Linked DNA regions of Mus musculus. The protein of the gene in region 2 interacts with the protein of the main gene of each other region in a pairwise test. Links are inferred from orthologs where the notes say so. Each region holds a gene or a part of one and is shown on either strand. Other genes may lie near its edges.

What was found.
Region 1: the proteins of Dlc1 (region 2) and Rasa1 interact in binary tests that used the Homo sapiens proteins (3 or more experiments, as listed by UniProt). The link is inferred for Mus musculus from reciprocal best matches to the Homo sapiens genes DLC1 and RASA1.

What each region holds. Positions count from the first base shown.
Region 1 is NC_000079.6:85,215,035-85,221,071, forward strand, and holds part of Rasa1 (ras GTPase-activating protein 1), read right to left. Parts: intron 4,461-6,037; coding exon 4,372-4,460; intron 3,226-4,371; coding exon 3,148-3,225; intron 1,978-3,147; coding exon 1,843-1,977; intron 1,154-1,842; coding exon 1,070-1,153; 3' UTR 1-1,069. UniProt on the Homo sapiens protein: Inhibitory regulator of the Ras-cyclic AMP pathway. Stimulates the GTPase of normal but not oncogenic Ras p21; this stimulation may be further increased in the presence of NCK1.
Region 2 is NC_000074.6:36,577,433-36,583,469, forward strand, and holds part of Dlc1 (rho GTPase-activating protein 7), read right to left. Parts: intron 5,446-6,037; coding exon 5,269-5,445; intron 2,275-5,268; coding exon 2,115-2,274; intron 1,991-2,114; coding exon 1,792-1,990; intron 1-1,791. UniProt on the Homo sapiens protein: Functions as a GTPase-activating protein for the small GTPases RHOA, RHOB, RHOC and CDC42, terminating their downstream signaling.

The DNA of each region.
Region 1 (6,037 bases), on a different chromosome or scaffold from region 2:
GAAAATTATAATAAAGTTAAATAGTAAGCTAATCAGTTATGCAAGCTATCCCTTAGTTTATTTTAACTTAACCCTTGTGAATACTTCACACAAAAATACATACACAAGAGCAAATGAACTATACAAACTAAATATCCAGCAGGTAAAACAAGTACAAATTAAAAGATGTGTAAGTTGTTAAGTGGCTGATTAGGTTATCTGCATAATCAAAGATAACAAAAACCATCTTAGAAGTGACAAAAGTATTCTAGCACTTCGTTTAAACATAAAAGACATCAGCAATCTATAAAATGGTCAAATGGGTAACATGCAATAATTGGTACAATGACCAATAATATTTATTGAATTTAAACTATTTACTGTTGTAAACATTTTAACAAAAGCATGAGATCTAAATACAGTCTTTGACAATTCCAACAAAATAAGTGGTATGTTTAAAAAATAAAGCTGATGAGCAATAGATTCATCGATTTTATATATTGTCTTTCAACAGTTCCAGAAAGAATAGCACAGTATTTTTAAAAAGTATACAGCAAGATTGTTCCTATTATAATGTCAAACTCTGGAAACTGTAAATACAAAGAAAGTCAGTGAACAGTCAAATGGTCATGTTCATAAAGAAGAAATTACAGTAATAACTGTCTGCGATCCAGTTAAATTCTGTTGTCTATAGAATGCGTTTCCTTGTCAGTTGATTTCATAGTTCCTTTTCCAAGAGACAGCAAAACTTTGGCAATTGGATATACTGAAAATATATTTTCAAAGTTCAAGACACAGTCAGTCATAGCATTTTTGTTGTTGTTAAGGGTACACCAAGGCTCAGAGTTTGGTAGAGATTCCATGTGGAAAAAGTGCGCAATATTCTGCACAGATAGCTTACAAAGGTGCTGGCAGTTGCTCTTCAGCAGAATCTTGGGTTTTTGCTTGCATAGCTCACACATCACTGGAATGTGGGAAAGTGTGCTATTTTTTTTCTTTCTCTATTTTTTTCTTTTTGGCAAGAGCAAAGGAGACATGATGGTGTGAATTACCACGGTGGGCATACTGAATCCACGCAGAACACAGGCTGCTACCTGATGTCATTGGTTTTTGTATACTGGTTTTGTTTTTGTTGAAGCAGTTCTGTTATCGCCAGAAGCTTTTTCAGTACGTGCTAGACACAGGAGAAATAGTGAGGAAAAAAATCACTAAGCAAATAAAGAGCTTAAAATTTCAATTATAGGATTTATTACTTTTGATAAAAACTATATCAAAGGACTGAGATTCTACTCAAGACATAAACTGAGTATTTTTAGTTGTAACCAAAATATAGAAGGTCTTACTACACTAAATTTTGTCATTATTAAATCTTGAAAAATCTAAGTTAAACAATAGCAATATTTTCCAATTGTACTCTTAACTAGTTAGGACTGCTTGGATTCTAGCCTCGCAGGCTAATTAATCAGACTTAGGATGGTCTATCTTGATTTATCCTTTCCTATGTGATACCCTTTTCTCTCCATTTAACTACCTTAGCTTAAGAGAGACTATCTCCAGTAACTTATCACTAAATCAATTAAAGTATCTTTACAGTTCTACTGGACAGCAAAAGCTTAATGTGGACTGATTTTTAAGGTATGAGTTATGTACCATACCAACTTGAATCACTATAATAATGTATCCTCTGTAGTTATTTTTCACATTTCTTATATAGTTCTCCTGTGCTTCACAAGTAGTTTTGCTCACACACTTGGTATGAGAGTAACTGAAAGAGTACCATGCCTTCTTACTACTGACAGTAACTCACTTGCCATTTTTACATGTACCATTTATAAAGCAGGAACATTGCCATGTAAAACCTACCTGCTGTACACCACGCTCATTGCTGAGTGTTCTCAGTTCATCTGAATGAGCTACACAAATCTCATGCAATGCTGCTAAGTCACGAGACAGGTCAGTTCTAGAATGCTCTGTAGTGTCCGGAAGTTCAGGTACATTCTTTAAGGGAATCATAAAACTGCGTTTAGAAATAAAAACCCTTGTAGTCTCTTCTAAAGTTATCCTAACTAGGTATAAAACATTAATTTGTACAAAAATTTTTATTCAAGTAATTCTGCTGAACATGGGTTATAGGACATCTATTTACAAAGAAGCCAGGTTCTTCAACTTTCATAGAATGACAGTGTGAATCTTTTTTAAATTTAGAGCATATGCAAAATAAATGATACCATTACAACTTAAAACTCCTAGACTGAATACTACTACAGTACTCTTATCTAAATTAACCAACATCTAAAGAACTAAATTATGAAAGTATAATAAAAATTCATTGTTTGCAATTTCTATAGACTGTGCTCAAGATAATTCTAAAATATGGGATTATTGGACATTAACATGTTTAACCTTCATGAAGTAACTTAGCCATCATAATAAATGTATAATACCGTATTATTGCATTAAATGCCAATAATTAGAAGTACTCCTAATAGAATCTTTGCAGAAGCTCACATAAATGTTTCTTATAAATATAGAACTTATGTTGTCGGTCTTCCTTCTAACCCCATTTGTTTGCCAAAAAGGGCTTTTGACATTTGTTTTAAAATGAATCACTGAGTCGAAATACACTACTACAACTGAATCGCCTATACTTTTGATGACAAACTTGGCTAAACTCACACATGCGTGCTAATTTCACCTTGGTCTCCGTGTATACATACCACATTATGAATATATTTACTTAAAAATTCATTCAGTGTTAGAAATGTATATGGGGTAGAAAATTTAACTTTATTATTTAGGGTCTCAGAAATTATGAATATGTTCAATTTTGTATCAGTTTAATTTATAAAAGCTCAAGTGAGGTATAATAATTATATTATTTCATTTAGTTCTAACTTTAGTTCCAATATAAATGGCTTCAAATCTTGTTTCAGCTACAACTTAAAAGGTTACTAAATCCAACAATAGCTAAAGGGTATGAATGAAAAGACAGCCTGAAAGATGACTGGTTGAAAGCCACAATTGTGTATGCTTGATATAAACAAGAATAAGTGAAAAAGACATTTTGGATAGAAAAGATTTTATTTTGAAGTCCTGGTTTTAAAATTTAAAGGTTATTACTCATATGGCTAAGCTCATTCTCAAAGAACTTGAAAATTATATACATACCCCAAGTTCATCTAAAAACATGATCATGCGATGTTTATTACTTTTTATAAATGGATTGACACCTTCCATATAAGGCTCCTAAAAAAATTAAAAACTTCCATAAGGCTCCTAAAAAATTTAAAACTTCCATCTCATATACCTTAAAAGAACTGTTTTACAACAAAAACTATACATGTTGCAAGAATTAGTATTTATTCATGCAAAATTTCTCTTTAATATAAACAGTTTCGTGGGAGGAATGGAGGTATTTAATGAAGATTCAAAATTAAATTACAAATTAAAAATCATTAAACATATAGCTTGGCAGACCCAAATTGTTTATATATAGATTTAGAATTAATTACTGATAAATTATGAAGAATCCAACACATTATAAGGAATTAAATAAAATACAGTGAAACCAAAAACTCCCTATGACTGCAAAATACGCTTTGGGTTTCAGGAAATTTCAAACAATAACCCATAAATGTAAACTACTTAAACTAAAATCCTAACCCACTATAATTTATAATTTCTAGTTAGTAAAGTATCAACAACAGGCTTCAAATGGGATAACATTCAATTGGAAATCCCAAAGATGTAGACATGAAATTGGAAGAACAACAATGAAACACACGAACACCCCCAGCAGATGAACAGAGATAAGGATCTGTGGGCTGCTGAGACGCCTCTGCATTAAGAGCGCCTGCTACACTTGCAGAGCAGGACCAGGGCTCACTTGCCAGCACTCAGATGGTGACTTACAACTGTTATGTTCCTGAGAATATAATATAATATACTCTGTCCTCTTCTGGCCCATGTAGGCACAAGGTACATACCAGTGCACTTAACGCACATACAGGCAAAACACTCATACACATAAAAGTGAATAAATCTTTTTAGAAAAAAATGAATCTGGCAAGAAATAATAATAACCAAAAATGGAAAATGGAATATATGACAAAAGCCTGAAATGTATATTTAATTATTAACCATACCCCAAAGTTTAGGACAAGTCTGAATGGAAGTGTAAAGAATACTTGTTACATTTGAACATCAGTTAAAGGACTGCATACTGACTAGTGGTATGTACATGTGAATTTATGAACAAATATGTCATATACTAAGTCACAAAAGCAGATAACTATATCATTCCAATCATGTTTTGAAGATCTGGTATATATTCATTGTGAATTTAAATTTCCATTTAAAATGTTATTAATTTAATTATCAAAATATGTTTACCTTAGCTCCAAATTCCACAAGATTTGCTAAATTCTGCACAGATTTAGCCACTAATGTCAGTGTTCTTGCAGCAATAGGAGATGGGGAATCTAGAAGAAAATTGGGTATAGCCAATGACACCGACTCCAGAGGTTACTTTCAGATAAATGGTCAAACACTTAGTATTAACACTAAAGAAATATTAAAAGTGCCAACAATCCTTTATTCAGAATATATTCACAATAGTCCTTGAAAATATATCACTTAATTCAAAAGAACTTGAATTAAAAGGGAAAATTGAACATACTTATCAGTGCTTGTTTTGTGAAAAGGAAACTAAAGGAGTAATTTCCAACTGGCTGATATTTCAGAATACTTCAAAAAGCTGCTTTATTGCTAAGAAGACTCTCACTCTAAAAACTTTCAGACCATGCCCAAAGCTAATTCAACCCACATAGGGGAGCATTTTGCAATCTTAGCAATTCCCTGTTCCCAACATTATTTGCAGGCAACTAGCTCAATTTATACATCAGTTTTTGAGTTCATGAAACAGTTCCCTGTAGAACAGAGAAAATGGAATGTAAATGAAAAGTATTTGTAGCTACCAAACAGAAACTGACAATTAAGGCCCCACCCATGTCCATGGACAACCTTGAGTTTCTGATCTCTTATCAGGTACAAGGGGTTGAACCCAGGGCCTCATGTATACTCTGCCAGTGTTCCACCAGCTTAGTTACATTCTCAGCCAGCAACTATTAACATTTTGACTCACTGTTTTGTATTAAAGTGGCAGTTTAAGGCCAATGTTTAGATAGAGCGCTCAAAAATTCTAAGCCTTTTAATTTTAAAAAAGTTATGTATACTTTGGTGTGGGTATGTACAAATGAGTGCAGCTACCCACAGAACCAAGACCAGTGTCTGATCCCTTGGAGATGGAGTCATAAGTGGTTGTGAGCCACCTGCCATGGGTGTTTGGAAGTGAATTCAGGTTCTCTGTAAGAGCAGTGTATGTTCTTAAACACTGAACCATTACACCCAGTCTTTTATTCTTAATATGCATCATTTCAATCACCTTAGTATTAATAAAAATTGCAGGAATGTGAGGAGTATAAACATAATAATAGTGAAAAAAACTATGGTCTTCCCTTTGATTTTAAGATCAGGGGGACTCTTAGACTCACCATTCATGCATATGGGCATTGTAGATACATACCACTGTGTTTAGTGACATAGTCTGGCTACAAAGCCCAGGTTTGTCTTGGGCTTTTTTGTACCTTAGCCTCCTAAGTTCTGGGATTACAGAATTCCAGAATGAAGTCCCACCTCAAATAAATTTTAATACAGATTTGAGGTTCAAAGTATAGCATGCAAATGACTGTTTCCTTCTATTAATGTTAATGGACTCATTACAACATTAGAGTAAGAAACATCAATACTTTTTCTTAAGCTTACAAATCTTAAAATTTTGTCCTGTGGACAGTGAGTGAAAAGCAAAATGGGGTCAAGCTTATTAAAAAGAATCTTGGGCTATCTTTGTAAGTGTTCACAGATTGCTAATGTGGCTGCACATAGGTCTTTAACCTGATCTTAGCAGAAAGTTTACCTTACAGTAACCTGATGTAGGCAAAGGACACAAGAACAAGAGCCCTTCCTAATCTCCTACAAACACTTGTCAGAGCCAGCAGGC
Region 2 (6,037 bases):
TGTGGGGGAGTTAAAACATTTGAAACACCCACAATACTAACATGCTTTTAAATCGACCTCAGACTTCGGCTCCAGATGACACGCGCCTTAAGCGTACAGAACTGTTACTTCTAAGCACTTAAAAAAAAATCTCTAATTTGCCATCTTAATTATCAAAATCATTCCACCTTAAAGACTTTGTGTAGTTTCAATAAAATGTTTTATGTGAGACACGTGCAAGACATTAAAAAACAGGGGCTGCTCAGCTGAGCAGAAAGGGCTCAGTATCTCTGGAGACCGATTTTGACCCATTTGCCCATTCTTTAAATGGGGAAAGGTTGTGGAAAAACATGAAGCCAATTTCAATAGACAGAGCTTAAATAATGACGTTTAAAGTTTTTAGAAGGTACACCAAGAAGCAAACGTATCAAAGTGCACATCACCCTGTAGAATAACTTATACTGGAATAAGTTTGTGCCTGGCATTCCGGTCTCATTCACCAGGCAAATTTTCTTTAAAGCAAGTGGTGGAAAAAGCAAGTCACTTAAATGCAAGGTCCTAAGACAAACTGATTAAAGGGCTCCATGGTTACGACGCATAACAAATACCTCAGCAGGGGCGGGTGTGTGTGTGTGTGTGGGGGGAAGTGACCTGTGTTTTCCTAAAATATGAAAGGTTGAGAGAGAGCCTGAAGCAGTCCAGACCAGCTCCGTTTCTCATAAAATGAAGTCCAGCACGTCACTTCTAAAGCTTATTTCAGCACTAAGACGGGGCTGCTTTTAAATCATGCTGCTCTGACGTCACGAGCCCAGAGAAAGAGGAGGAGGCTGTGAAAGCCACGGTCCTCTTCTTCATCATTCACTTCCTCAATGGTTTGCCCTAAGCCGAGCCTAAAAGTGAGGAGGGCACGCGTATTGTCTCCTTAGGTGTTTATGGGAGGAACGGTGATGATTAACCGGAAAAGGGGAAAGAGGATTATTTTATTCATTTCCCAGGGAGATAAAATACACATGAGAAAAATTTGAATTCCACAGCCCTGTTAGAGAAGTATAAAGTAAATGAGAAGTCTATATAGATGGGGAGCAGGGAAGGAAATGAGAGGTGGGGGAAGGGAAGGGAGAGGGGTCGAGGTAGAGAAAGTGGAGGAGAGGAAGAGGAAGAGGAAGAGGAGGGAGGCAGAGAGGGAAAAGGGAGAGGGAGAAGGCCAGCATACCATTTTGGTACCCTATTTTTGAACACCTACTGCTCTAGATAAACGAAAGATGACAGTGGACTTGATGGTAAAAATGTACAACTGACTTCTGTACTTCCTGACTCAATAGCAACACTGATTTTCTCTTTCTTTTGAAGACAATGTCTCATGAGACCCAGGTAGCCCTCAAATTCAGTATGCAGCCAAGGGTGACCTTGAACTGATCCTCCCACCTCCATTTCCAAAGTGCTAAGGTTGCAGGTCTGCACCGTGACACCTGGTTTATGTGATGCTGGAGAGAAAACTCAGTACTTTATGTGTGCTACACACAATCCCTCTGCCAACAACATACAGTGGGTCATAAAAGTACTTCTCAAGCTATTTAGTAAGGATACAGTAAACCTATTACACACACACACACACACACACACAGACACACACACAGACACACACACACACACACACACACACACACACACACACACACACACTGTAACTTTCGAGAAGATCAGCATGCAGGTTTTTCTCTACAAAAGGATGGCATACAAAGAGGCTGTGTGCTTCAGTTGGTCCCATGGAACCCGACATCAGTTGCCTTAAGAAGAACCAAGAACGCTTACACTGGTAGATCTGCAGGAAGGTTTCGGAGAGTTTGTTCGTCATGAGGGGCTCAGGAAGATCTCGAAAATATTGCTTTAACATGTCTGCCACATCATAAGCAGACTGGCCTTCATAGTTGACATTATCTTCAGCGCTTTCATTCATCTGGCGTAGAGCCTGGATCCGGGATTTGACACCTGACTTCCTGAAGAGCCCGACCTTTTGGAAGGAGAACAGCAGGGATGGGTGTGGAAGCAGGACCCTTCCCCACGAAACTAGAAAAAAAACCATGCAGCCCAAAGCTCCGCTCCCACGAGTGGGATCCACAGGCAGCTGTACTCACCTGGTCCAGACAGTGGTTACGGAGGTAGCGCATGGCCTGCTGGATGCTCTGGGGCAGGGGCTGTCCTGAGCGCTGCACGTTCACAGTCAGTGGGACCCCAAACACACTCCGGTCCTTGTAGTCTGGAACCTTGATCCTTTTCATGAACTTGGGCACAGCCCTGTTTAAGGAAGATGGGGTGGAGGGGATAAAGCATTCACTTGTCTGAATTTGCTTACCCCCCCTTCTTTTCAACCCCTCCCCCCACCACGAATTTGATCCCTGTCAATACAGGGACTATTTAAATGAAAATAAAGTGACCTCTTCCGTTCTGTAGCTGTAGTAGCCACATTAAAGACCTTTTACTGGGTCAGTAGCTGCCACAATACATTATATGAGTGTAAAACGCCCTGCTCCAAATTACTGGACAATGTCATAGGAATGTGTGTGGTTTTTTTTTTTTTTTTTTTTTTTTTTGGTGGCGGGTGGGCAAAGTGCTTTTGGTTATCAAACTTGGAGACTCTGGAATCTATCTGGGCAAGTGCTCTGTTACTGAGCTACAGCCCTAATGTCTCCCCGATTCCTTTGTTTTTGTAAGACTTTTTATTATTATTATTATTATTATTATTATTATTATTATTATTATTATGTAGCCCACTCTGGTCGGTCTAGATATCTGAAGAGCTGGAACTAAAAGACCTGGACAAATACCCTCATCTGGGGAATCTGTTAGCTCCTGTTAATCTTGAGAAGGGTTGTCTGTGGTCCTCAGGGAGGCTAATGGACTTCCTTACACGAGAACAGTACAGGAAGGAAGAGGCAAAAAATATGTAACACCCTATTTAGGTACTTCTGATATGAGCTTGAGAAACAACTTCCCACTTTTCCTAAAAGGGTATGAATCCCTTCTGGGTTCTTGGAAGAGACCTGAGTTGATTCATTTATAAGGAGATCCGGGTAACATTGTGTAAAAACCAGCCAAAGGCTAACTGTCTTGTCATACTGGGAACCTAGGCCAGAGATCAAATAGGGCTGGATCTGGAGTCAAAATAAATTCCCCTGCCGATGACTCCAAAGAATACAGCATCTCCAGGCTTCTATGGGAAAGGGGAAAGGCACAATGGGGGTTTTGTGAAGCTCCCAAAGGCGGCCAGGCATCCTGAAAGCAGGGCTGTGCCCAGCCATATATGCGACAGCAGGAAACCCAAATCAGGCATTTAAGGATGTCAGGCAGGTACAAGTGACCCCTTGAGGGAGACCAGAAAGGGCAGAGCCGAACAGGAAAGGGACTTTGGGCAGAAGTGCTCCTTGCTGTCCGAGTTCTACAATGCCAGGCATTTACATTTTGGTTTTTACACACTGGAAAACCTGACCAGAAGTGAAGTAAGTGGGAGGGTGGACTTGTAGATTTTTTTTTTTTTTGAGGGTTTGGTGAGAAAGGGGGTAGACAACCCTGAAAGGAGAATGTAAAATATGCAGTTTTAAATAGCAGTGAGGAAAATATTACTCTAAGCACAGAGGGAGACCACAGAAAGCCAACTGCCTTGCCTTCTGGGTGCTTGCCCGCGGCCATGGTGTGCCACTCTTGATGGCTCTAGAAAAGGAAAAGGCAGAGAGTAAAGCCAGATTTGCATTTCCATACAGTTAGGAGCAGGGCACAGAGGCAGAAGTGTGCATAAAGCTCGCTTTGTTGTGCGTGAAGGGCCCAGGCTGTGGAATGTGGAAAGAACACATTACACTCCCCGCTGAGAATCTGAAGCATTCTGGGATAAACTGGTCAATACGTATTTCTGTCATTCAGAACAAACAACTTCTGTATTTAGCGAGGCTCATGTAACTGCCTTGGTTAGGGAGGTGCTTTGATGGCACAACTACAACCCCTGGACATTCCTAGGAGGGAGGAGTCAGAGAATTGAGGAACAGTGGACCCTGCCTCAGACCATCTCTACCATTTTGGCTGGTTACTGATATGGGCTGCATCTGTTTTCATAACAATTGGACTACAAGCACCCTGATGTGAAAAGATTCAGGGACACCTGTGACACTTGGAAACAGAGACCTGGATCCAGATACAGTTCTTGTCTTTAAACTCTGACTATGGACAGGAATTATATCCTGCCCACGACCCATCCAGCCTGACTGTCCACATTTTACACTCAAGGCTGAGGATTCTAGATTATGAAGAGTTAGACATCTAATACATTTCAATTTTAAAAATATAGTTGCTCTGTGGTGGGGCATGGTGGCACATGGCTTTAATCCTAGCACTCAGAGGAGGTAGAGGCAGGTGAATCTCTGAGTTCAAGGCCAGCCTGGTATATATAGTTATGAGTTCTGGGACTAACAGAGCTATAAAACAGATAGACCCTGTCTTAAAACACCAAAACAAACAAACAAACTAAAGCAAAAAAAAAAAAAACAAAAAACAAAAAACAAAAAACAAAAAAACCCCCCAAAACCCAAAGGGCTGGAGAGATAGATAGCTCAGTGGGTAAGAGCACTGACTGCTCTCCCAGAGGTCCTGAGTTCAATTCCCAGCAACCATATGGTGGCTCACAACCATCTGGAACGGAATCCGATGCCCTCTTCTGGTGTGTCTGAAGACAGCTACAGTATACTCATACATAAAATAAATAATTCTTAAAAAAAAAAAAAAAAAAACCAAAAACTCAAACACAAAGAAACAGTATATATGTAAGATATTATAGCTAACTACTTAAGTTTATTATTCTCTGAGCATTTTTGCCAGAAAGGTCCGCTTCTAAATAAACAACAAAGCAAAAAAACCCCAAAGTCAAAACAAAAACCCCAAACTTGTTAGCACAGGTAGATTTCTCAGGTCATGCTCAAAACCTTCAATCAAAACTGACCAACAGCGTGATGGAGTGTGGGCTCAGCATGAACAAGGGCCTGAACGCATCTCAGGCAACCACATGATGGCTGAAAACCCAACCAACCAGTCCTGCAGTTAACTCCCTGAGGCTCCAGGAGTTTGAGCAGCATGGAGAACATAGCCTGGAGGATGTGGAGACCACCTGCTTAAAGGTTGATGGACTGGTGACATTGACAGAGGACAGAACGGTCCTATGCTGAGTGCTGGGGACAACCTCAGGGAGCGTGATGGCATCCCCCCAGGGCCATTGCTCACTGCTCACTGCGCGCTGCGCTCTCTTACCAGCTGAAGCCGTGCTTGTTGGAAGGCGTGTACTTTTCCAGCAGGGCCGTCAATTTCAGGAGCGAGTATTTCTGCAGCAGGTTCATCTGGGCCACAGACTGGCAGTTAATCTGCAGTGACACGGAGTTGAGGCTCGGCCGGTGGGAGCTCTGGAAGCTGTGCCACCTCAGTCTGTGCCTGCAAGAGAACAGGGCGGAAGGAGTGAGCTGGGACCAATCTCTGATCATCAGGAACCAAGAGCATCGATCTTCCTTTCCCTGCCTCCCCCCCACCCCCACTGTCTTTGTAACCCCTGAAGGTTGGTTCCAGAACATAGCAGATATGTGGACTCAGTACACTCAGGTCTCTTAAAAAAGATGGATAGTGTCAACGCACATCGGGAGCACCCTCCCCATTTAATGTAAGTTTATAAGCCAGATTGCTATAACAACCTGCTAGTAGTTCACGGTCACACTCTATTACCCAGGGTATAATGACGGAGAAGACAGTTTCTCCCCTGAGTAGTTCTCATCTGTGCCTGGCTGAAACTGAAGATTTGGAACTGCAGGAGAATCAAGATGCATGCACTTTAAGCACGTCTAAGTACACCCCACGGTGGATAAGGCCTGACTATATCGTTCAAACACCACCATCTTCCAGGGTCCACTGTCTGCATCCTTGATGACCAAAGGTTCATACCTAGTTTATAATACTCCTTTCCCGTTGGGATTGTTGGGGTCTCCTGGTTGGACGCCGTCCCTAGGAATTTACAGGACTGCAAATATCAGAC